Linked DNA regions of Diceros bicornis minor. The protein of the gene in region 3 interacts with the protein of the main gene of each other region in a pairwise test. Links are inferred from orthologs where the notes say so. Each region holds a gene or a part of one and is shown on either strand. Other genes may lie near its edges.

Region 1 (7,212 bases), on a different chromosome or scaffold from region 3:
TAGAGCCAGAATTTGAATCCAAAGTAGTCTGACTTCAAAGCTGGTGGACTGGGCACCACACTCTACTGCCCCCTGGGCAGAGGACAATGTCACACCACAAACAGTAATAGAGGGATACTGATTTCTGCGAACAAATCTGTCCATGGCGGATATGGAACGCGAGGACAGTGTACATACAGTAGCAGCGATTTCAACTCCTTCCAACTGGCCCCTGCTGCCTACCCTCTCTTAGCATGCATGCTTGGACACAAGATCAAAAGACACATTCTGAAGGCCCCAAATTAGGCTGTTATTCTTCCTAGCCAATGCACCTGCAATTGGTCCATAAAACTGCTGAGAAAAATTGGCAGCTTTACCCAAGTAACTACGGAAATCCTCATAATAACTCTACAAAGGTGGAAGGGTCAGGTCCTCATCCTCATTTTAGAAATGAGGAAATGCAGGAACAGAGGTGAAATGACTCGCCCAAATTCGCAGAGCTGGTTGGAGCTGCAGCCAAGAACAGAAGTGTGTCTGCCTGCAGACCCAGGGCTCTTTCTCTTCTGCTTCAGCATCTGTGCTGTGGGATCGGCTTTTAAGTCAAGTCATCTTATCCTGGGACCACACCCCTGGTCCGGAGGGTGTGGGATGTGTGCAGTGCCACACTAGTCCATGTTAGGCAGTACCATGGGGAGGTTCCAGAGGGCAATTAAAATTTCAAAATGCGTTTTCAGGTTAGATCACTCCAGACCTACTCCATCCTGTGGCGTAACTAGGAATAATGGCTGCACGTAATCTGCTCTAATGAGTAGGTGCTCAATAAATACTTGTGAGATGAATAAATGAATGGATGGCCAACTGCACTTCTCACATGCTAGGATAACATGAAGGGCAAGGGCTTCAGTATGATTGTACGGCAGGTGTTGCACAAGGAGAATCTGCCCAGGGGCCGGTGAAGCTGGCCCAAAAATCATCTTCTAAAACCTAAAATGCAGAGTAAATGTGAAAACTTTGGGAGGCTTGAGACAGAATAACTCCTTTGTTTGGAGAACTAAGCAGAACAGGAACTTGAAGTTACAAATGAAAGTAGTTTTGGGGTACAAAGCTTTGGAAGGTACCAGGGTGTAAAGTGCAAGAACAGATAAAGGAGATTGATTTCAGTGATTAGACTCAAAGAACAGTAGTTAGTAGAAAGAAGAGCATATAGGCCAAAGAAGAAAAACACACACTTGATTCACAGGTCGCTCTCCAGGGTAGAATGTCAAGTGGACACCTCAATGTCCACTTGATCTCTTACATCTAGATTTGGCCAAACTCCACTGATCCGGGTTGCGACTAGCTCCAGGCCGCGACTAGCTCCAGGCCATCCCTGGAGATCCCCAGGCCTTCCAGAGATTGGCAACCCTCTTGAGCACGTCCCAGGCTAAGGTGGGCTCTTCAGGATCCTCTTGGAAGGGGGGCTGCCTCAGGAAGCACCCCCTTCCTGGCAGTCAGGCTAAGAGCTAGACGCAGGGTTACACGGAATGCATGGGCGGAAGGGCCACTTAACTGTGCTACGTTCAGTCCCCAGCTCCCCTTAATAATTAGATGGGGGAAATGATAATGTATTCGGTCTGCTAACACAATGGAGTGAGTTTCAAAAAGCTCCAGGAACCTGTTTTGCTAGAGAAAGAACTTTACTATGAAACATGCTGACTGAGGGATTAAAACATACCTATATTTTTTTTAATGTCCCATTGAACTATGGTGACATTCCAGAAAAAGCAGAGCGCCAGTTAAAAGGATATTTTTTTTTGCTTTAGGAAAAAACAGCCCTAGTCCTGGTTCAGAAACTGTGTCTACAGCATTGTGTCTCTTTTATTACTACTTAATTTCAAAGAAGGAGAGTTGAGGGGGGAAGAAAAGCAAGGCTACCTCCTGTAGACAATGCTCTCCCTTATCAGGGCAGACTGCTGTCTGGTTTCCTGTCTTGAGCTCTGGCATTACTGCTTCAGATGAGAAACCGGGTCGAAGAAAGGGACAGATCAGGCTTGAAAACGAGAATGCTAAAAACCATCATAATCTTTCTCTTCCAACTTACCCCAAGATGAATTCTGACTAGAATATTACGTATATAGCAAGCCAGATATCAATTGTTCTTTGATTCTAGGGATTTTTTTTTTAAAGCTAGAATCAACGATAAATGAAGCACTTCAGAAAGAAACCCAATTTCCAGAATAATATAATTTCTAGTATTTAAAAGTTGAGGTCGCTTGTATTTACTTTATTATTATTTTTTAAAACACAACTGGGTGTGAAAACAGAGTTGGAAGTACCACTTAAGAAAGCTGTTCATTATAGCAAAAATGTTGATTTGGAAATATTAAGAAGGCAAGTATTTAATGGGGGGATGGAGATAAAATGGAATTAAATTAGGAATAATGATTTGCAGGGTCAAGAGATGAAACTATATCATTCCCATTTTTTTTATTGTAATTATAGTAACTATCAGACTGGTATAATTTTTTCAATTGCTTAGCTTAGCATTTAAAAGCCTGCAAAAATTTTTTTTCTGATAGAATATGTTAGACCCTAATCATCTCTATTAACCACTTCCTCTCTCCCCAAATGGTGAGGCAAGGATTTGGGGTAAGCCAAATAAAGAGTCTGTCTACCAAATCTAGGTGGATTGTTAACAACTTTGGAACTAAAACAAAAAACGTTGCTTCAATTTGGGTTTACTTATGATTTTAGTTTAAAGGCCTCTTGTCCTACAAGTCAGGTTAATATTTCAAATTTGCTTCTTCCAAAGGAGAAAGGAAAATTCTTATTGAGACTTTCCAAAACTTCCACCTTTTTTCATGGAAGGTTATCAGTAGCCTACCATTTATTCTAGTAGCTTTTTTAATATCATATTATATATATCCCTTTATCCATAAAGAATGTGGTGGGACATGAAGTTAAAACCAAAGTACTATTATCATCAATTTTGGGGAGGATCGGGTCTAATTTGCTGCCTCAGCAACTCTGAATTAATTCCATTAGAGAACGTTGTAGATAATCCCTTTAGATTTTAAAGAAAATCCAAAAATAAGTTTAAAAAAAACAACTTGCCAAAAGTTTTTTCTGATCATTTCTTTAAAACTTATTTTCTGAAGAATCAAGAGAAAAATAATTTGTTAAAGTAGGTTTTAAATAGTTAACCCAGAAATTTGTTAACTTAACTGCCAATACACATACAAAAAGAAAAAAAAGTGTTATGAAAAAGTTGTTATTGTAAAACAATAAAAACAAAAGCATTCTTCTGTTTTCAAAAGATTAGATTAAAATTTTCCAAATTATCATTAAATGAATTTATTTCCAGTTCTCCTTTTCTTTGAGCTTTTTATTCTTAAAACAGTTTGGAAATCAGATCTAGGATACAGTAAAATCTTCACCTTCAAAAAAATTATCCTAGTATTTAAATCTTTGTCTTCAAAAAGAAATAATCCTGCAGTTTTCTCAATGTATCTTATGCTTTGCTTCAATACTTTCTCTAAAGATTTTTTCCTTAAACATAAGCAAGACTTTTGAGTCAGCCTAGGCTGCCAAGACTGCTTGAGTTCTCCATCCAATGAAGCCTGTGCCTTGAGCGTCCTGTATTAATGTGAAGAAGGGTGGGCCACATCTTTCAGATAATGCTACATCTTCTAAACTGTAAGGTGATAATCCTGATCCAAAATTGACAGCTTCAGGGCAAAACGCCAATCTGAAAACAAACACGCTACCCACTTCAAAACCAGAATGAAAAACAAACAAACAAATACAACCTCCTTTAGATTTCTAGCCAATATGCACACAAATTTCTTAAAATTACAATTTGGCAATGAAAAATTTAAAAAGACAAAAGTATGTATTCACCCATATAAACATACTGGAGCAAAGGGTGTATGTAAAAAGGTTAACTGACTTCTCATTATGACATAACACAGGCATCTTAAGCAATCGCAAGTGTGCAGAGACATGATAACTCCCAGGGTGGGGATAGGGAGTTTAGGGGCAGGGACCATGGCCTGGTCTGGGCTACTGATCTACCAGAAAACAGCCTGAAACAGGAAAGAGCACACATATGCCACTTGGAATGTATGACGCAAACCCCAGCCTTGAAACAAAGAACAGGAAACAGCTCTGCTGGCTGTGCTGGAGAGAAAGCACAGAGAAACATTTAGCCGGCCCTCCCTGACCCTATATTCATGAGCAGCTGGAGTTTTTTAAGACAACGGGGGATGGGGGTTGGTGGAGGTGTTTGTTCTATGGGTGTGAATAATAACACCAGCTTTATACAGGGGACCTGCCCTATTTACAAATAGGAGCTTCCACATACAGTAAACATCATAAGTGAACATGTGATTTTATCATATACAAGCAGCAGAGACCTTCCTAATTAACACCAGCCTCCCTACAGATTTCTTTTGTCTCTTTCTCCCCCATCCCAACGGCTGGTCCCTAGCCATGACCAAATTCTGGGTTAGGGTAATAAGTATTGTTCAGCCTCAGAGCATCATGAGGAAAATGAAGATAGAGTACTGCTGTTAACAATTCAGATTACAATTGGGTTATCCCACCTAACCGAAAATTGGACCAATTTTAAGTGTCCCTTAGCCACAGAACTAAATTCCAAGACACAGAGCGTGGGACATCTAGAGGCAACCCAAATTTTCAGTCTTCAACTGCATAGTTATAAACATTTGCACACAGCTGCACATCTGTGCTACACGTACACACATGTACAGAAATTCACCTTTTGAGACTGTGATTTTGTTCCTGACATTTAATTTAATCCAAAATTGTTAGACAATCTGTAGAATAGAGTATCAATTTTTACAAGACATCCTAAAATGTCTATTTTCTTTTTGGTATTAAGGTAGTAAAAGCCATTCACAGTCCTTTTCCCATTACTTCTCTTTATTTTGTCAGCCAGGTCTGTTTAACTCAGGTAGGTTTCCATTATTAGAGATTTAAGAATCTGTGTGTAGACATAACTACAGGTAAAAAAAAAAAAAAAAGGCATCACTGTGCCCATAGCAACCAGAAGATTGAGTTTTAATTTAGAAACTTTGCAGTGAAAAAACAATAGCTTTCTCCAAAGTTATATGGCTGTGTTTTATATCTGACAAGGGTTTATGGTCTAAATAGCTACTTTTCTTTGTTATTCTCACATTAGGATTTTTATACTTGCATTTTCCTTCACACAAGCAGAATGTTTCTTACAGTTTCTCTTCATTGAACTTACCAATAGTACATTAGGCTTTTCTCTTCTAATTGTTCTGCAGCAAACCCCACTGACTGTAGAAATTGAGATGTTTCTCTAGGGAATTTAAATTAATCAAACATCTCACTTCAGTTTTCTGTTAACAGCCTAATGTCAACTAACATACTCCATGTTTCAAGCCAGAAGAAACTCATTTGTCCACTTTCTTTAAAAAATAGTACTAACTCCTCAAATTTTGGAGATGTTAATGCTCTCAGATTTTCCCCTAAAAGCAAGTCTTCCCTCGGGTTAGACAGATTATCATCCAGCTGGATTTCTCTTATAAAAATACTCCTCTAATTCATACATAAAACACTCTGAAAAGGACAGCACAAAATTGCTCTGTGGAAAAACTTATAATGAACAACTGCCCTCGTCCCCACTTGATTTTGTTTAATAATTACGGATACTAAATCTAAATGAAGTCAGATTCATACCACTTCATACTTTTCCCCATGTACCAGACTCTTGTGAGAATTAATATATTTAAAGTGTCTTGGGTGATATTAACGGAAAAATACGTCCTGAGTTAGTAAAAAATTCAGCATAAAACGTTTATTTTAGTGAAATACAAAATGAGCAATTTCCAATTTCCTTTTAACCCGCCTTATTAAAAGTAAGTCCCATTCACATGTCCTTCATCTAGTATTATTGTATGATGCCGTTCAATTTAAAGCAGAAAAGATTCTCCTTGTTATCTGCCAAAGAAGTGGCTTTGACAATTCCAGGTATTATCTGCCATCTCCAAGAAAGCCACTCTGAAACGTTAGGTAGGTCCCAAGGGTCCAGGTCCAGGGATCAGTTCCTCGCTCCCCACCCGGCTCGGGTCCCTAACGCCGCAGGCAGTTGCTTAAGGCGCTCTCCGCCTCCAGCCACGCTGCAATCCTCGCTCCAAGCACTGCGGCAGGTTCTCTCCGTGCCCCCGAGGAGGGCTCTCCAAACCCGGCCAGCTCTTTTCTCCTGCCCCCGAGGATCCAGACGCCCTGGCAGCTCTGGGTTCCAGAACCGAGAATGGGATGCTGCCTCCAGTCCCAATTGCCCTAAGTTTCTTCCCGGAGGGCCCGCGAGGCTGCTCCAAGTTTGCTCCAGCGGGCGAGCGGCCGCGCGCCCCGTCCGAGGAGGAGGGCGGCGGGGGGCGCAGGCGGAGGGCGGGGAGGGGGAGGGCGCGGGAGCGGGGGGTGGGGGACCAGGAGGGGGAGGAGCAGGAGCGCGCGGCCTCGGCGCTACCTTTCTCCAAACAACGTTGCCACACGCGGAGAACACTGAGATTTCTGGGGCTTTGGAGGGAATCGCGGGCGGGCGGGCGGCGGCCGGGGGACCACACAGGTGAGCCCCCACCCGCGCCCTCCCCGGGGCCGCGGCGGGCGCTGCAGCCCTCGCTCTCCGCACTCGCGGATCTTCACGGTGGCCCTCCCCAATCCCACACTTTCAACTGCTGACCCCGGGGGCCCCCTCCCCCTCGCCCCCCCTCCGCCCCCACCCCCGGCTACGAGGAGCTGTTGCACTTTCCCAAGCCCACAGGCGCCCCCACCCCCGCGCTGCACCCCCAACCAATTCACTGCGCGCCCCCCTGAAAAAAATGAAACCGGACGAGCCGAAAAGGGGGGCAGTAGGAGTCGGGCCGAGAAGGAAAGGTGAGGGAGAAGGGACTTACTTTTCGAGGCGCGGTGCTGAGCGCTGCAGACGAGAAATAAAGGCCCGGATGCGGGCTGCCTTGGACCCCGCGAATGCAGCAATGTCAGCGCTCCAGTCCGGGCGCAGTGGGCGGCGGCGGCCGCAGGGGACGGGGACGGGGACGGGCGCGCGTGCGGCGGCCGCTCGCGCTGCGCTCCGGTCGGGCCCGGGCTCCGCGCAGCTCCGCTCCTGGCTCCCCTCTGGCTCCTGGCACCAACTCCGGGCAGTCACATGACGCCGGCGCCGCTCGCTCTGCGAGCCTCCCGGGGCTGGCGGGGTAAGTAGAGGCT
Region 2 (7,379 bases), on a different chromosome or scaffold from region 3:
TAAGGGCAAAGGAAGGGGGGAGAGATAGAGGGAGGGAGGGCAGGACAGAGAGGCAGATGGGTCAGACAGAGGCCAGAGATGGCTGGCTTATCCCAGGGCCTCGCCAGGACCTGACCCACGGGCAACACCTCGTGTGAGTCTGTGTTGTGACCGAGTGTCTGGGGAAGAACATGATGGCAGGGTGTGGTCTGATAAAGACGCCCAGAACGTTCGTCAGAACAGCAAGGGTGGTCTTCTCCGGGTGCTTTGCACGCTTAGGATTCTGCCCCTCCCTTGCTCTGGATTAGCCCCCCTCAGTGTAAGCTTTAAGGCCCCTCACACTCCTGCTCACCACCAGGCGTGACAGCACCATGGTGACTCTGGAACCTTCCATGAGAAATGCCTGCTTCCCATTCAGTCAATGATGCCTACCACCTGCCTCCAATGCATTAACATTGATTGAATTCTTTTAAAAAAAAAAAATTAGGAGATTTGGGGGAATTTAAATATGAGCTCGATGTTAGGGAATGACCGTTGACTTTCTTAGGTATAAAAATGATGTTATGGTTATAGGGGAATACTGACAAAGAGCCCAATCTTAGGAGGCGGTGCTGAGGTGTTCACAGCTGCAGTGTCACAATGTCTTACATCCAAATCATTCAGAAAATGTTACATATATATGCACACATGCACATAGGGCAAATATGGCAAAATATTAGTAATCATTTTATTTAGGAGGGGTAGTATTTTCATAACACTTTAAAGCTGCTTTTCTTGAAATATCATTTATGCTCATCACTGTTATAAAATCCTGGTATTTGTTAGACCTGCCGTTACATTTTATTATTTTACATGTTGGTAGAGAGGTACATGTATTACCATATCACAAATTGTTTTAAAAAAAATATGTCCATAGCTGCATTTCAGTACAGCTGGTTTCTTTTGTGATCCTATGAACTTAATTTTGTGCATTTAGAAACATTTTGCTGAGACTGTGTCCACAGGCTTCACAGACTTCCAAAGGGGCTTGTGGCACAGAAAGTAAAGGAACCCCTGCCTTGGTGCAAGTTTGACCCCAACCTTGTTCCTGGCCTTGCCCGAACGCTGGCTTCTGGGAGGGCTGAGCGCCCCACCCCCCTCGTATGAAGGGAAAGCTCGGGTAGTGGAGCCCCGGTTGACCCAGCTGGCAGCAGGAAAGCCCTCACATGTTCTACCTCCGCCCTTTGGCCTCACTCACCAAGGCCGTCTGTCTGTCATTCCCCGTTCTTCCCTCTCCTCCTCCCTTTCCCTTTCATTATCCCTTCCACCTCCACACTCTCTGAGCCCTCCCTTCAGCCTATTTTTGAACATCTCTGAGGATAATGTCTTTTCCGTGGCTCCCTGGGAGACACTACCACCTGCTGTGGCTCGTTAGATACGCTAGAAAAAAACCATCCCCAGGCCTCAAGGGCAAGAGGAGTGTGGTTCCAGGCAGTTAGCAGGTGGAGGGGGACCAGGGAGGTCTCAGCAGTGGGAACAATGGAGTTGTATCCTTGGAGTTGGGAGCAAGGCTCTGGTCCCCCTGCAGGAGGTGTGAGAGGTTCACCTGCCCTTGGTGAGTACAACGCCACCAGCCCCCTCTCCCGCCCCCAACCAAGCAAGGACGGTGCAGGCCCTGCAGGGAAGCTGTTCTCTCAGCACAAAGGCAGCCCCGCCCAGGCTCCACCTCTGAAGCTGGGCTCTAACAGCTGAGCTGGACATCTGCAGGCCATGGCGAGGAGCTGCCCTGCATGTCCCCCAGGACCCGTGAGCACAGAGCGGCACCTGCGCTGGGCTGTCCCAGGGCACCCGCCACTTCACCGAGCAGTCAGAGCGGCTCTGCTGAAGCCGGACCCTGGGTCTGGGCAGAGGCCTCGCAGAAGGTGCGGAGAGTAGGCGCTCCCCTCCCTGACGGACCTTCCTCCCAGCCCCGTTTTTGCCAAGGTACAAGGCCAACTTCACAGATTGCAAATTGACCTTAGCGGGTTTTTTCGGCAACATAGAAAAATATTTAGAGTAATTCACCAAGCCAGGTGTGACTCAGACCTACACCTAGAGGTGCAACTAGGAGGGGTAAGCGCTCAGATCCAACTGACCACAGTTGGAGGGGGCTGATCCCCAAGGAACTCTACCCTGATCCCACAGTCACAGCTCAGACTTTCCTTCCCAAGCCTGGTCCTCTCCCTGGAGCCCACCCTGCACTGCTCTGTCCAGGCCCGCTCTCCTGGGTGTGTTATCAGGACTCAGACAGCTCCGTGACTAGGAGGACTGAGGCCCGCACATCGCCGGTGTGTTTGTTCACGCCTGTGTCCTGGGAGTCTGACTCTGCACCTTGGGTCTAGTAGGTCCTCGAGTCACAGTTCTCAAATCGATGAGAGAATCTCTGAGGTGGGTTTCACCTTGCTTCCCCCTGCCTGTGTCCCCCCCACAAAAGCAGAAGAGAAAATGCTGGGGCTGTGTTCTTCCAGACAGCCTCCTGGTTCCAGAGCAGACAAAAGCTATGGCTTCCCGTGGGTCCATAAGGCAAGGACCAGGCCACGGCCCGGAGGATACTGCAGAGTCCGTCCACTCCTGTGGAACAGATGAGGACTGACGGGCCTCCCTGTGGCCATCTGGGCCCTGGACTCAGACTGCTCAATAGGCTGTCCCCAGCCTGCCACAGCCCTGAAGCCACCCCTCCCAGCTCCAGGCTCGTGGGCCTCTGCTCTAACTTCTAAAGGCTCAGCTGCTCCCAGGGTGCCACCCTGGGGAGACCACCCTCTTACCTGGCTTTCTGAGGTCAGCCTCTGCTGAGGTGCAACGTCCAGCAGGGGGTCCTGCTTTCTGTTTCGCAGTCTGGGAGAAGAGAGTGTCTGGTCTTTTCAGGGAAAAGCAGCAAGTTCGGCAGCCATAGGAGAGCAGGGTAGAGGGGAAACTACGTCCTAAAAATGCCTCCTTCCTCTTTCTCTTCTGCTGCTGGCTGCTGCCTCATGCTTTTTCCTCTCTTTCTGTCCCTCAGAAGTTGTGCTGAGAGCAAACAACACTGACCAGAGGAGGGATCCAGCCTGGGCTGGTGTTTGTGGAGTGCGTGTGTGCACGCGTGTCCCGAGAGGCTGGAACCACAGCTCCTCTGATGAACCCCAGAGGCGGGCCAGCTCCTGATCTGTGGTTGCCATGGAGACCCACCTAAGCCTCTTTCACCTCGAGCTGTATTATCTGTAGAGGGAGCCCGTCTGACCTAACAGAGACACCTGAGAAGACTCAGGGGGAGAGAGAGCGCCTGCCTCCAGATGGCATCCTCCGCCCCTTCCTTCCCTGGCCTGCGTTTAGGGTGGTGCAAACTGGGGGAGCAAAACCACGGTTACCGTACCCTCTGCAGAGCCCCGAGCGGACTGTGGGCAGATGTTTCCAGCTGCTCGGTGGATTGTTCCTGGCCAGAGCTCAGCTCTTTCCACTACTCCCTCCCCCAGGAGACGGGTGCTTCTGGGTGCAGAGGGCAGGGGCCTGAAAGGATAGTCTTCCCCTTTGCCTCACCACGTCCTTTCCTGTCCTCCTCCTTGCTAATCAAGATTCTCTCCTTCTCTCAAGGCAAGTTCAAGTGCAGAAAGTTCCTCTGACTTTCTGGAGGAGGGGTGAGGGGGAGGAAAAAATCCAGGGAGAAGAGGGACCATGGACTGTGATTATTGATTTTGAGGTGTTCGAGGTAACATGCGGGGCTGGTAGGAGCCTCCTGTTGCTGCTCTCTGGCATCCCACACTCACATCTGGGCCTCCTGCCTGTCTCCATGCTCTGGACACTCTGTCAATTGGAAGCTATTCTGGCTACAGGCCACGTGTGGGCCAGCCTGCGCCTAACAGCCATTCGGAGGCACTGACACAGATGCCTGTTGCCCTGTGAGGGGCCTCGGGGTGCTGTAATGGGTACTGAGCAGCATTATAACAGATCTCAGGGGATACGATAGCAGGTACCAGGTGATGGAGTGACTTCTGGACACATCTAGTCCTGATTGTGTTGGCAATAAAGCAGAAAGCATAGCCAAGAAGAAATTAAACTATGCCTGACGAGCTGACTCAGATGCACACCTGCCTGCCTGCAGGTTGTGATTTTTTTTCCTTGTGTGATATGCCACTTTGTGCTCACTCTGTGGCTGGTTCCATTAGGCATATCTGCCTTCCCTCCTTATCCACCTTCTCAAGCAGGAGTCTTGAGTCGGGAGCTGAGTCATACACTTCTCTTGACAAGGTCACAGCACAACAGTCCCAGACATTGGGAGGGTCACTTGGGGATGGGAGACTCCCACATTTTGAGCTAAAGATAATCTCCTCTGACTTACAGTTCTCAAGTGGCCTCCACCCCAGGGCCAGCAAAAGCTAGAGCAACCTGAGACAGGTAACCAGGAGTCCCCATCTCAGAGCATTTCACTGCCGTCCTGGAACTTCCCCAAGGGCAGGAATTCTAAGGCATGTCCACGCTGGGGGGAAGGGAGCAGAGGGAAGAAAAGCCTCTGCCCTCCTTTTGGGAAAGTTGCTAGAAGTGACGAGGAGAATGAGTCAGTAACCAAGTCAGACACTTATTCCTGCAACACGTACGTCTAGAGCACCGTTCGGTACAGTCACGATGCTAAGAGCTGGCCAAGGATGGGTGATCCCATTCCCCTCCCCTCTCCACACTTCCCAGCCAAGCCTCCATGAGGCTAGGTGGAATGAGTAGGAGAGGAAAGTCTTGCAGGAGGGTGGGGAGTAGGGCCAGTATTAGGGTTCAGAGCTAAAGGCTTTTATCTCCCTGCGGTACAACCTTGGGTCTACTACTGACCATTCTATTTGAATGAAAACATTCATCCTTTTTCTACAGCCCTACACTAGTCTTAGCATGTCACCCTTCAAACACACAAGCACAATAAATGTAAATGAGATTGTATGGGTCAACGTTTTGAGCCATCTAAAGGAAGATGCCATTGCAGCAGTGTGCTGAAACAAGATGTGAGCTTTAGGACTCCTGACCTGTGACTCTGGGGAACACACACACAGATGACCAGGTTTTTAGCATCCTCCCTCCCAACAGAGCTGTCCCTTTCCCCGCACTTTTCAGTGTTGCCCATGACCAGGAGAGGGGGCCATCCCCACCTTCCTTCCCTCCCCTGCCTGCTGCCTTGACACCATAACTCAAAGATGGCTTAGTGTTTGTGTTGATTGCTCATTTATTTTGATTTGTTAGCCTGTGGAGCCTTTGTGATTATCCATGCTGTGTGAATTTGTACTAGAGAGGGATGATGGTGGTTGTTTTTTCTCTCATTTGGCATCAATGGAAGTTGCTGAAGCATAGCTAAATATTCGCCAACCATTTTAATGGAGAAGCACCAGTGGGGCCCATGACATCACCTCACAGATGGCGTTTGATTAATAAATTGGAGATGGGAAATTAAGAAGCCATTGGGTGCAAGGCTGGATTAAAAACTGCAGGGGGATTTGAGAAGAGCCTTGACCCCAGATGTGAGGCTGCGCATATGGGAGTGCTCCCACTGTTCCCTCCTCCCTGGCTTCTTTCCGCTCGGTCGTGAATAGGATTTTCAGAGTCTAGCAGAGCTCCATATTGCCCAAATCCTGAATGAGACTGAATGAAACTGACATAATATCCAGGGATACAGACCAGACCTGCATTTACCCATATCTCTTCTCTCTGGCTAGCCCTCTTTCCACTCCTCTGGCCACATTTACTTCTCCAGGTAAAGGAAGCACTGTATCTGACTATAGGAAAAATGAGAACGCTCACCTTTCTCCCAGCTGGCTTGCTTAAGCCCCTCTCTCCCTCTCTCTCCTTTCCCCTCTCTTCCCTCTAAACTCATTCTGTTTAAAATGTATATACATTAAACTAAAGGGAACTCTGGAGGGAGACGTAATGCATTTCTCATTCATTCAGGAAGTGTTTATTGACCATCAAGTGTCTATTGACAGACAGCACCTTGATGCCCCATTTCCACAGAATTCACTCACCACCGACTTCTTTTAGGTTCTGCCCTGTGGTTTGACAGACTGATCTGAGGGCCAGTGGCAGAAACAGCTAGCTGTCCACCAAAGATTCACACCCCTCTTCCAGAGTGTAGACATCTTCCTGGGAAGTAGCTGTCCAACCAGGGACTACATTACCCAGCCTCCCTCGCATCTAGGTGAGGCCGTGTGGCGATGGAATGTGGGTGGAAGGGATGTGTGCCACTGCAAGGCCTGGCTTAGAAAAATCTCCCGTGCAATTCTCCACCTTCTATCTTTTCCCACTTGCTGCTGGTTGGCAAGGACTCTGAGGCCCTAGAGGATGGTGGAGCCACAATTTTGAAGGGGCCTAGGTCCCATGTGGCAGGCTGCCCACCAATCACCATGTTGAACTCTAATATGTGCCAGAAATTTATTGGGCCAAACCACTAAGATTTGGGGTTTCTCTGTTATAGCAGTTGGCACTACCCTAACTGGGGCAAAATCCTGTGAGAAGGGAGGGATGTGGAAGCTTTCTGCTATTTCTTTGGTTCCTGGAGATCAGAGCTCTTCCCTGACATGTTCTCTCCCAGTTTATCCATCTTCATCCCAAAGAAATCATTACTTCACCCCATATTGGCTCATGCCTTTGTGCATGATGTACACTCTGCCCCAAATGCCCTCCCCCTAGAAAGTCTCAGCCCTCAAAGCTTAGCTCCAATGGTAAAACCTCAAAGAATTTTCCTGTCTGCCCACCTGCTTCCTCCACTCCACTCTCCGAAGCTTCGTTCTCGTGTACATACGGTCGATCCTAATTACCTGCCGATTCCACATTTGCAAAGTTGTTTACTCGCTGAAATTTATTTGCAACCCCCAAATCAATACTTGCAGCAGTATTCCCGTCATTCCAGACATGTAAAAAGCGTTGAAAAATTAGACAGCGAGCACATTCCCAGCTGAAGTTGAACGAGGCGATGCTCTGCCTTCCCGTTTCAGCTCTCATAGCCTACCTGGGTGTCCTCTTCACGGTGTAGTTAGGGCTGCACTTTCCACACTTTGTGCTTTTTCTTGGTGATTTCACTGTTTAAAACGCCCTCTAAGCGCAGTGCTGAAGCACTGTCTGGCGTTCCTAAGCACAAGAAGGCCGTGATGTGCCTAAAGGAGAAATATGTGTGTTGGATGAGCTTTGTTCAAGTATGAGTTATGGTCCATGAGTTCAATGTTGGTGAATCAACAGTATATATAAATAAGGTGTCTTTAAACAGAAACACATAAAACAAAGTTATGTATTGATCGGTTGACAAAAATGCCGTGACCAGAGGCTCACACACGCGAACCTAATGCTGTACCTCCTGTAGGAGCAATGGCTCAGTGTCTGCTAATTCAGTGTTGGTAGCGACTTTTAGAGTGTAACTAACGCAAACAATGAGCACCTGGTTC
Region 3 (7,809 bases):
CGCGGGGCCTGGAACACACAGCACGAGCCGCCCCCGCCCCTCCCCCTTACGCCCACGCGGAGCCGGCCCCGCGCGCGCGCCCCGTGCACCCCCGCGCCTGCGCGGTGCCCAGGCCCTGCCCGTGCGTGGGGGCGCTGCCGACCCCGGGGGGGGTGGGGAAACAGGGGGGGAAAAAAACAGCGCGCGGAACCGGGCCAGGTGAGAGGCGCGTGCACTCAGGGTCGTGGGGCTGGGGGGGCGTGCCACGGAGTTCTGAACGTTGGGGGGGGCGTGCACGATGCGTGCAGGCGGCGGGGGGAGGACGTGAAAGGCGCGTGCAAACGTGCAAGGGGGGGCGGAGGAATGAGGCAGCGGCTAAAGGGGGCGGGGTGAGAAGAGGCAGCAACCTGGGCCACCCCAGAGCCCAAAGCCCCAGGCTTCTGCTCCCACTTCCCCCGACCTTCCCCTGTGGGCGCGCAGGCTCACCCCATCCTCGCGGGCAGTCAGGCTGGGGGGTGTGGATGCCGCTGCCCCGCCCCCGGGAACCACGCCTCCCTCCTCTCCGACGGACAGCGCCTCCCCGGGGGCTGGGGAAACTGAGGAAGAGGCCTGAAGACTGGGTGGTCTCATTCTGGGGGGTCGGGCCAGAATGGGGGCGAGGGGCCTGGAGCCTTGGCTTAGGAGAGCCAGAGACCTTTGTCTCTGACCAGTTTCCTTCCCAACCAGGGTTGCCCACCCCCGCCACAATGGCCTCTGGGGTGGAAGTGCTGCGCTTCCAGCTGCCCGGCCACGAGGCCGCTACGCTGCGGAACATGAACCAGCTCCGTGCAGAGGAGCGGTTCTGCGACGTGACCATTGTGGCCGACAGCCTCAAGTTCCGCGGCCACAAGGTCATCCTGGCCGCCTGCTCACCGTTCCTGCGGGACCAGTTCCTGCTGAACCCCAGCTCTGAGCTGCAGGTCTCTCTGATGCACAGTGCACGAATAGTGGCCGACCTGCTCCTCTCCTGCTACACGGGCGCCCTGGAATTCGCCGTCAGGGACATCGTTAACTACCTGACTGCCGCCTCCTACCTGCAAATGGAGCACGTGGTGGAGAAATGCCGGAACGCCCTCAGCCAGTTCATTGAGCCCAAAATAGGCCTCAAAGAGGATGGGGTCAGCGATGCCAGCCTTGTGAGCAGTGTCAGTGCCACCAAATCCCTCCTCCCTCCTGCCAGGACCCCAAAGCCAGCCCCCAAGCCCCCACCCCCACCCCCTCTACCCCCTCCCCTCCTGCGGCCTGTGAAGCTGGAGTTCCCACTGGACGAAGACCTGGAGCTGAAGGCCGAGGAAGAGGATGAGGATGAGGACGAGGACGTGTCTGATATCTGCATTGTCAAGGTGGAGTCGGCCCTGGAGGTGGCACACCGGCTCAAGCCTCCCGGAAGCCTGGGAGGAGGGCTGGGTATGGGAGGCTCCGTGGGCAGCCACCTTGGGGAGCTGGCCCAGAGCAGTGTGCCCCCCAGCACTGTGGCCCCACCACAGGGTGTGGTGAAAGCCTGCTACAGCCTGTCTGAGGACGCGGAAGGGGAGGGCCTGCTGTTGATCCCCGGAGGCCGGGCCAGTGTGGGGGCCACCTCGGGCCTGGTGGAGGCAGCAGCAGTGGCCATGGCTGCCCGGGGGGCGGGGGGCAGCCTGGGGGCGGGGGGCAGCCGCGGACCCCTGCCCGGGGGCTTCTCCAGTGGAAACCCCCTAAAGAACATCAAGTGCACCAAGTGCCCGGAAGTGTTCCAGGGCGTAGAGAAGCTGGTCTTCCACATGCGGGCACAGCACTTCATTTTCATGTGCCCGCGCTGCGGCAAGCAGTTCAACCACAGCAGCAACCTCAACCGCCACATGAACGTGCACCGCGGCGTCAAGTCGCACTCGTGTGGCATCTGCGGCAAGTGCTTCACGCAGAAGTCCACACTGCACGACCACCTCAACCTGCACTCCGGAGCGAGGCCCTATCGCTGCTCCTACTGCGACGTGCGCTTCGCCCACAAGCCTGCCATTAGGCGGCACCTCAAGGAGCAGCACGGCAAGACCACAGCCGAGAACGTGCTAGAGGCCAGCGTGGCTGAGATCAACGTCCTCATCCGCTAGCGTTAGCGGGGCAGGCGGCTGGGTCCCTGGGCTGGGCGGGAAGGGGGCTCTCTGGCCCAGGAGAATAGGGGGGTGGGGGTCGGGGGCAGGCAGGTACGGTGGGGAGCCTGAGCAGACACACACATCCTGAGAGAGGGGCAGAAGATTACTTGGAGAGAAGACCCTGCCTCTTCAGAAGAAAAGAATGGAGAGGGAGAGGGTTCTTTGAGAAGGCAAAGGAAATACAGAGTCCCAGAGAAAGGTTTTCTTTTAGAAGTGCATGGATATGTGAAGAGAGGGAAAGGGTCCTATAGAAACGAGGAGGAAAAAGGACTGGAAATGGTTATATTCCTGGCTAAGGCTGCCCAGGGAGAGGTTCTGACATTTCTTGAGGTAGGGGGTGGGTGGGTGGGAATTGGGAGGGAATTTGGCAGGAGGCAGCTTACATGCTCCACCTTAGAATAGATCCTTGGGAGAGGGAGTGGTAGGGGGAAGGGATTCTCAAATCCCAGAAAAGGAAGGGGAGACAGTTCTTGCATGCTGGGGGAATGGGGCTGTGGGTACAAGGCTCGCCAAAACTCCAGAGAGAACAAAGTAGGGTGTCAGGTAAGAGAACATGGGGGTGAGCATCCTGGGTAGATGTTGGGAAGTGGGGTACAATAGCAAGAACGGTGAATAGTGGTGGGGGTGGGGGGTAGGGCACTTAGAGGAAAGGACACGAGAAGGGCTGTTTGGGGGGAGGGAGAGGAGTAGAGACTTATATACAGTATTTTTTAAGAAAACAACGTATTTTTTAGGATTTTTTCTGGAGTTTGGGGTTTTAGTTTTTCTGCTTTTGTTTTCCACAAAATAAAAAAAAACAAAACCTTTTTTTTCTTTATACTCTGTCTGGTGACTGCGTGTAAATGACTATCCCACCCTAGGCAGCCTCTCCTTCTGATGCCATTTGCTCAATACCTGGAGGTCACAACTCATGCAAGTCCCATGCCTGAAGGAGCCCTAACAGGGAAGAGGGAGTGTGACAAGTGGGCTCCTCTGGCCCAGGACCCTCCCAGTTCTGCAACCTCAACGCCTGGCAGATATAACACAAATGTTCCGTGATTGTTTGGCAGTGGTAACACATGACCTGCTCCTCTATCTGAGGAGTCTGGTATCAGGGCCAGGGATAGGCTCTAGGTGTGACCGTTGTGCCCACCGAGATTGTAAGCAGGAGCCTGTGTTTGGGCATTCTTGGTCTGGGGAAAGGGCATGTCCTCGGGAAAGCTAAAAATCACTGGATTAGGGTCTAGGGAAGACTACAATTCCCAGAAAGCTCTGGAATAGTTCTTAACCAAAGAGAACTACAGTTCCCAGAAGGCTTTGAATTGGCCTCAGGTGCCCTATCTCGCAATCACCTGTCTGTGTCAAATACTGCGTGTGAAATCATACAGATATTTTCCAGACTCTGATCAGAATGTAATACCTAAAGGGATGGTACCCTAAACACTGCTATCAAGTTGGTATAGCTTGGTGTAATATCATTCATACTTCCACTTTCGGCTGGGCTATGACCCACGGAGTGCCTGACTCTGCTAGTGAAGTGTTTGTCAAAAAAGGTTACTAGAGTGTCACCAGACACTAATGACTCTTAGGCCGCTGGGGGGCTCACCTGGATTCCTATGCATGTGGTGGCGTAACATGTCTGGCATAAACATAACAGACATTTAGCCCCAGGTTTTCAAAAGGGGACGCTGCTCCAGGGGACATGAAGCAGCATGCTAGAACCAGCCAAGAGGAAAGGTGTCCTCCGCGCGTCCCCATCGCCTCCTTCTTGCTCGTTAGAGAAGCGAGGCCAAAACTGAGGCCGAGCCTTCCATCTGGTGACCCAGAAACTGAAAGCAACCAGAAGCGGGAGAAGCACACGCAGGCCAGATTGGAAATAGAACCGCTGCCGAGAGCCGGGAGAGTCAGACGCTCCGCTTGTTACCTAAAACCAGAGGGGGGATGCAGAAGCCACACGTGGACCCAGGCGTGCCTCGCCTTCGGTTCCCCGCTGAGGCGAGGCCAGGAATGGAAGGAATTCTCCCCTGCAGCCCCCAGCCTAGAACAGCCACTGCCGTCTCCAAGGCCGCTCTCGGGGAAAAAGGCCAGAAAGCACGTACTGGCTCCTTTAAGGCTCCTCCTAGCCCGCCCTCTCCCGCCCACGTGACCCGGGGCGGCCGCGCGCCGGCTCGGCCCCCCGCGCAAGCGGCGATGGCGGCGGCGGCGGGAGCTGCAGCGGCGGCGGCCGCCGAGGTGCGGAAGGGGAGGGGGAGAGGCGGGTGCATGCCCGCGCGCGCGCCCGGGGGAAGCGCGCGCCCGTGCAATGCTCCGGGGGTGCAACGGGGCCGGGGGGCCCGGGCGGGACTTGCAGCAATCCGGAGGGCCAGCACTGGGGGCGGATGAGGGGACCAGGGGGTGGGAGGTGGGGGGAGTGGGCACGGAGGCGCGCGTGCAGCCGCCGGCTGCCCCCGAGTGGGTGGCGGGCGCCGGGGCCCCAGGAGCACGCGCGAGGGGCACGAGGGGCCGTCCACCGGGCTGGGGGGCAGCGGGCGCTGGAGGGGTTGGTGCCCGGGGTCCCCGCGGCCTGGGGGACAAAGGGGGAGCGGCGCGTGCAGCCGGGAGGAGGGGGCGGGGCCGGGGCGCGGAGGCCCCGCCCCCTCCCCCTTCTCTCTTCTCGGCCCCTGAGATGCGGGGTCTACCGAGAGGGAGGGGGTTGATGCGGGCCCGGGGGAGAGGTCGTGCGGCCCCTCCGGGCAGCCGAGGCCGCGGAAGGGGGGGCCCCCATAGAGGAAGAGGTAGGCCCCGGAGCCTACTCTCTCTTCCCAGGGCCCAGGCGTCCTGGGCCCCCCAACTTCCTACTGGGCTGACCAGTCCTCCTATCCCTTGTGTCCCCTCCCAGGGGGAGGCCCCCGCTGAGATGGGGGCGCTGGTGCTGGAGAAGGAGCCCAGAGGAGCCAGCGACAGAGGTGAGTTTCTGGCAGAAACGGCCCGGTTGGACCTTCACCTCCCACAGCACAGGATTCCTTGAGCCCTTAAACCTGAACTTTTTTCTTCCCTTTCAGTTCATGGCTCTTTGGGGGACACCCCTCGTAGTGAGGAGACCCTGCCCAAGGCCAACCCCGACTCCCTGGAGCCTACTGGCGCGTCATCCCCAGCCTCTGTCACCGTGACCGTTGGTGATGAGGGGGCTGACACTCCTGTAGGGGCCACACCGCTTATTGGGGATGAACCGGAGAATCTCGAGGGAGATGGGGGCCGCATCCTGCTGGGTGAGAGGCTGGGGAGTCTAGGGGGTGAGGTGGGGTATCCTCTGACTCTGCCTTCCCTCTTATCTTGCCTTCTGCCTGCCTGCCCTGTCTGTTTTCCAGGCCATGCCACAAAGTCCTTCCCGTCTTCTCCCAGCAAGGGGGGTGCCTGTCCCAGCCGGGCCAAGATGTCAATGACAGGGGCTGGAAAATCACCCCCATCAGTCCAGAGTTTGGCTATGAGGCTGCTGAGTATGCCGGGGGCCCAGGGGGCAGTAGCAGCAGGGCCTGAACCCCCTCCAGCTACAACCAGCCCAGAGGGGCAGCCCAAGGTCCACCGAGCCAGGAAAACCATGTCCAAACCAGGCAATGGACAGGTGAGGATTGGGGGAGGGCTGCTGGGAGTGGGAGAGACAGGGGTAATCAACCGTAAACCCCTTGTGGGCTTTTCTACAATTTAGCTTTAAGCGGTCTCTAATCTATTCACAGCCTGATGTATTTACCAAGGGGCTACTGTGTGTCAAATTCTAGGCTGGGGCTTAATCTGTGAACAGACATATTCCTTCCTGTCTTTCTGGAGTTAACATTCTTGGGGAGAGGGGAGTAGAAGAGAGAAATGTCAATGAGCTAATTATGTAGTTAATGCCTTAATTACTCTTATGGTAATGACTATGTAAAGAAACTTTAAACCACTCTTCCTTTCTACCTCAAAGCAAGTCTCAAGGGAACTTTTCCTCCCTTCTTTGAAGCTGCCCCTGCTCCATTTTTAAAGATTTTACTATAAATCTCTACAGGGAAGGAGATGAGGGCCACAGAAATGACAGAGGAGGAAAATGACAAAGGCCCCAGAATCTCAGAAGCTTTATGACAGTGTTCTTAGGGTTCTGCATATCATTTTGTTCTGGGTGTGGTTTGGGTAGCTTTGGTGAAGGCCTTAACCTTCGTTTTCTCACCTGTAAAATGGGGAGAAAGGGCTTGCTTCTGTGTGAAGAGGTGAGTGAGTGTTAGGTATGGGATGTGCTTGACACACTTCCTCCCAGGATACAGCAGTTCATGTTCTGGTTACTGGAGCTTCAGAGGGCATTTTTGAGGGTGTGGCTCACCACCCCACCCCCACTTGGGGTTCCAGGCTAAAGGCTCCCTGACCTTAAATGTGCTCCCTCTTGCCCCCAGCCCCTAGTCCCTGAGAAGCGGCCCCCTGAAGTGCAGCATTTCCGCATGAGTGATGATGTGCACTCGTTGGGGAAGGTGACCTCAGGTCAGTCCCACCCCCCACCCACCTGAGGCTTGGTCTGGCCTGTCCTGACAGGTTAGAGCACAGACCTCACGCCTTTCTCTCTCTCCTTCCAGATGTGGCCAAGAGGAGGAAGCTGAATTCAGGAGGTGGCCTGGTGAGCCAGGAGAGGCAGGGAACAAGCCCTCTCCGCCTGGGGGGCTGCCCTTCCAGGAAATGGGAGGTTGATGGGTGGGGGGGAGCAGCTTCAATTTTTTTATCTTTTTCTAGTCGGAGGAGTTGGGTTCTGCCCGGGGTTCGGGAGAAGTGACCCTGGAGAAGGGGAACCCCGGGTCCCTGGAGGAGTGGGAGACAGTAGTAGGTGACGACTTCAGCCTCTACTACGATTCCTACTCTGTGGATGAGCGTGTGGACTCTGACAGCAAGGTGAGAGGGAGCGGCTGCCCTCCTGGCCAGCACCTCACCTCATCCAGGGCTTGCTCTCCAGTCTTGCCTGCCCCCTTTTTCTCTCTTTCCTTCTTATCTTCTGAACAGCCACTAATTTACTGCCGCATCCTGTCTATAACTTATTTCCAGTGTGTGTTCCACGCCATTCCATCCCTTTACCTCTCTCCACAGTGGTGACCACCATCGTGGACTTTGGGTTCAGCACCCCATTTTATGGTTTATTTGTTATTTGTTTTTTCTTTTGCTTTTTGTTTGGTTTTGTCTCATACATGTTTGATTATGTGATATAGTGCTTAGTCTTGCCTGTCTTGCTTTCATTTAACGTTTTATTATGGAAACTTGCAGATATACACAAAAGAATAGAGGAATGAGCCCCAGGTGGCCATCACCCAGCTCCCACAATTATTAAAACACAGCCGATCTTGACTTATCTCTTCCTTCCCCAACCCACACACCTACTGGATTGTTTCAAAGCAAATCTCAGGCATCATATCATTTTATCTACAAATATTTCCATATGTATCTCTAAACATAAGGCCTATTTCTGTTTTTTGGTGAGGAAGATTGGCCCTGAGCTAACATCTGCCCATCTTCCTCTACTTTATATGTGAGACGCTGCCACAGCATGGCTTGATAAGCCGTGCGTTGGTCCGTGCCTGGGATCTGAACCCGCGAACCCCAGGCCACTGAAGCAGAGTGCACAAATTTAACCACTACACCACTGGGCCAGCCCCCTATTTCTGTTTTTTAACATCACTGCATTACTATTTTCACACCT

Evidence for each region.
Region 1: the proteins of EHMT2 (region 3) and KLF3 interact in binary tests that used the Homo sapiens proteins (3 or more experiments, as listed by UniProt). The two-hybrid records come from large-scale screens. The link is inferred for Diceros bicornis minor from reciprocal best matches to the Homo sapiens genes EHMT2 and KLF3.
Region 2: the proteins of EHMT2 (region 3) and RD3 interact in binary tests that used the Homo sapiens proteins (3 or more experiments, as listed by UniProt). The two-hybrid records come from large-scale screens. The link is inferred for Diceros bicornis minor from reciprocal best matches to the Homo sapiens genes EHMT2 and RD3.

The regions. Positions count from the first base shown.
Region 1 is NC_080747.1:31,813,613-31,820,824, reverse strand, and holds the start of KLF3 (Krueppel-like factor 3), read right to left. Parts: upstream 3,043-7,212; 5' UTR 1,963-3,042; coding exon 1,894-1,962; intron 1-1,893. UniProt on the Homo sapiens protein: Binds to the CACCC box of erythroid cell-expressed genes. May play a role in hematopoiesis.
Region 2 is NC_080743.1:77,296,483-77,303,861, forward strand, and holds the start of RD3 (protein RD3), read right to left. Parts: upstream 3,061-7,379; 5' UTR 2,763-3,060; intron 1-2,762.
Region 3 is NC_080753.1:32,913,376-32,921,184, forward strand, and holds the start of EHMT2 (histone-lysine N-methyltransferase EHMT2), read left to right. Parts: upstream 1-4,770; 5' UTR 4,771-4,791; coding exon 4,792-5,071; intron 5,072-5,167; coding exon 5,168-5,374; intron 5,375-5,473; coding exon 5,474-5,727; intron 5,728-6,523; coding exon 6,524-6,608; intron 6,609-6,700; coding exon 6,701-6,741; intron 6,742-6,854; coding exon 6,855-7,010; intron 7,011-7,809. Other genes in the region: ZBTB12 (zinc finger and BTB domain-containing protein 12), read left to right, coding at 726-2,105. UniProt on the Homo sapiens protein: Histone methyltransferase that specifically mono- and dimethylates 'Lys-9' of histone H3 (H3K9me1 and H3K9me2, respectively) in euchromatin.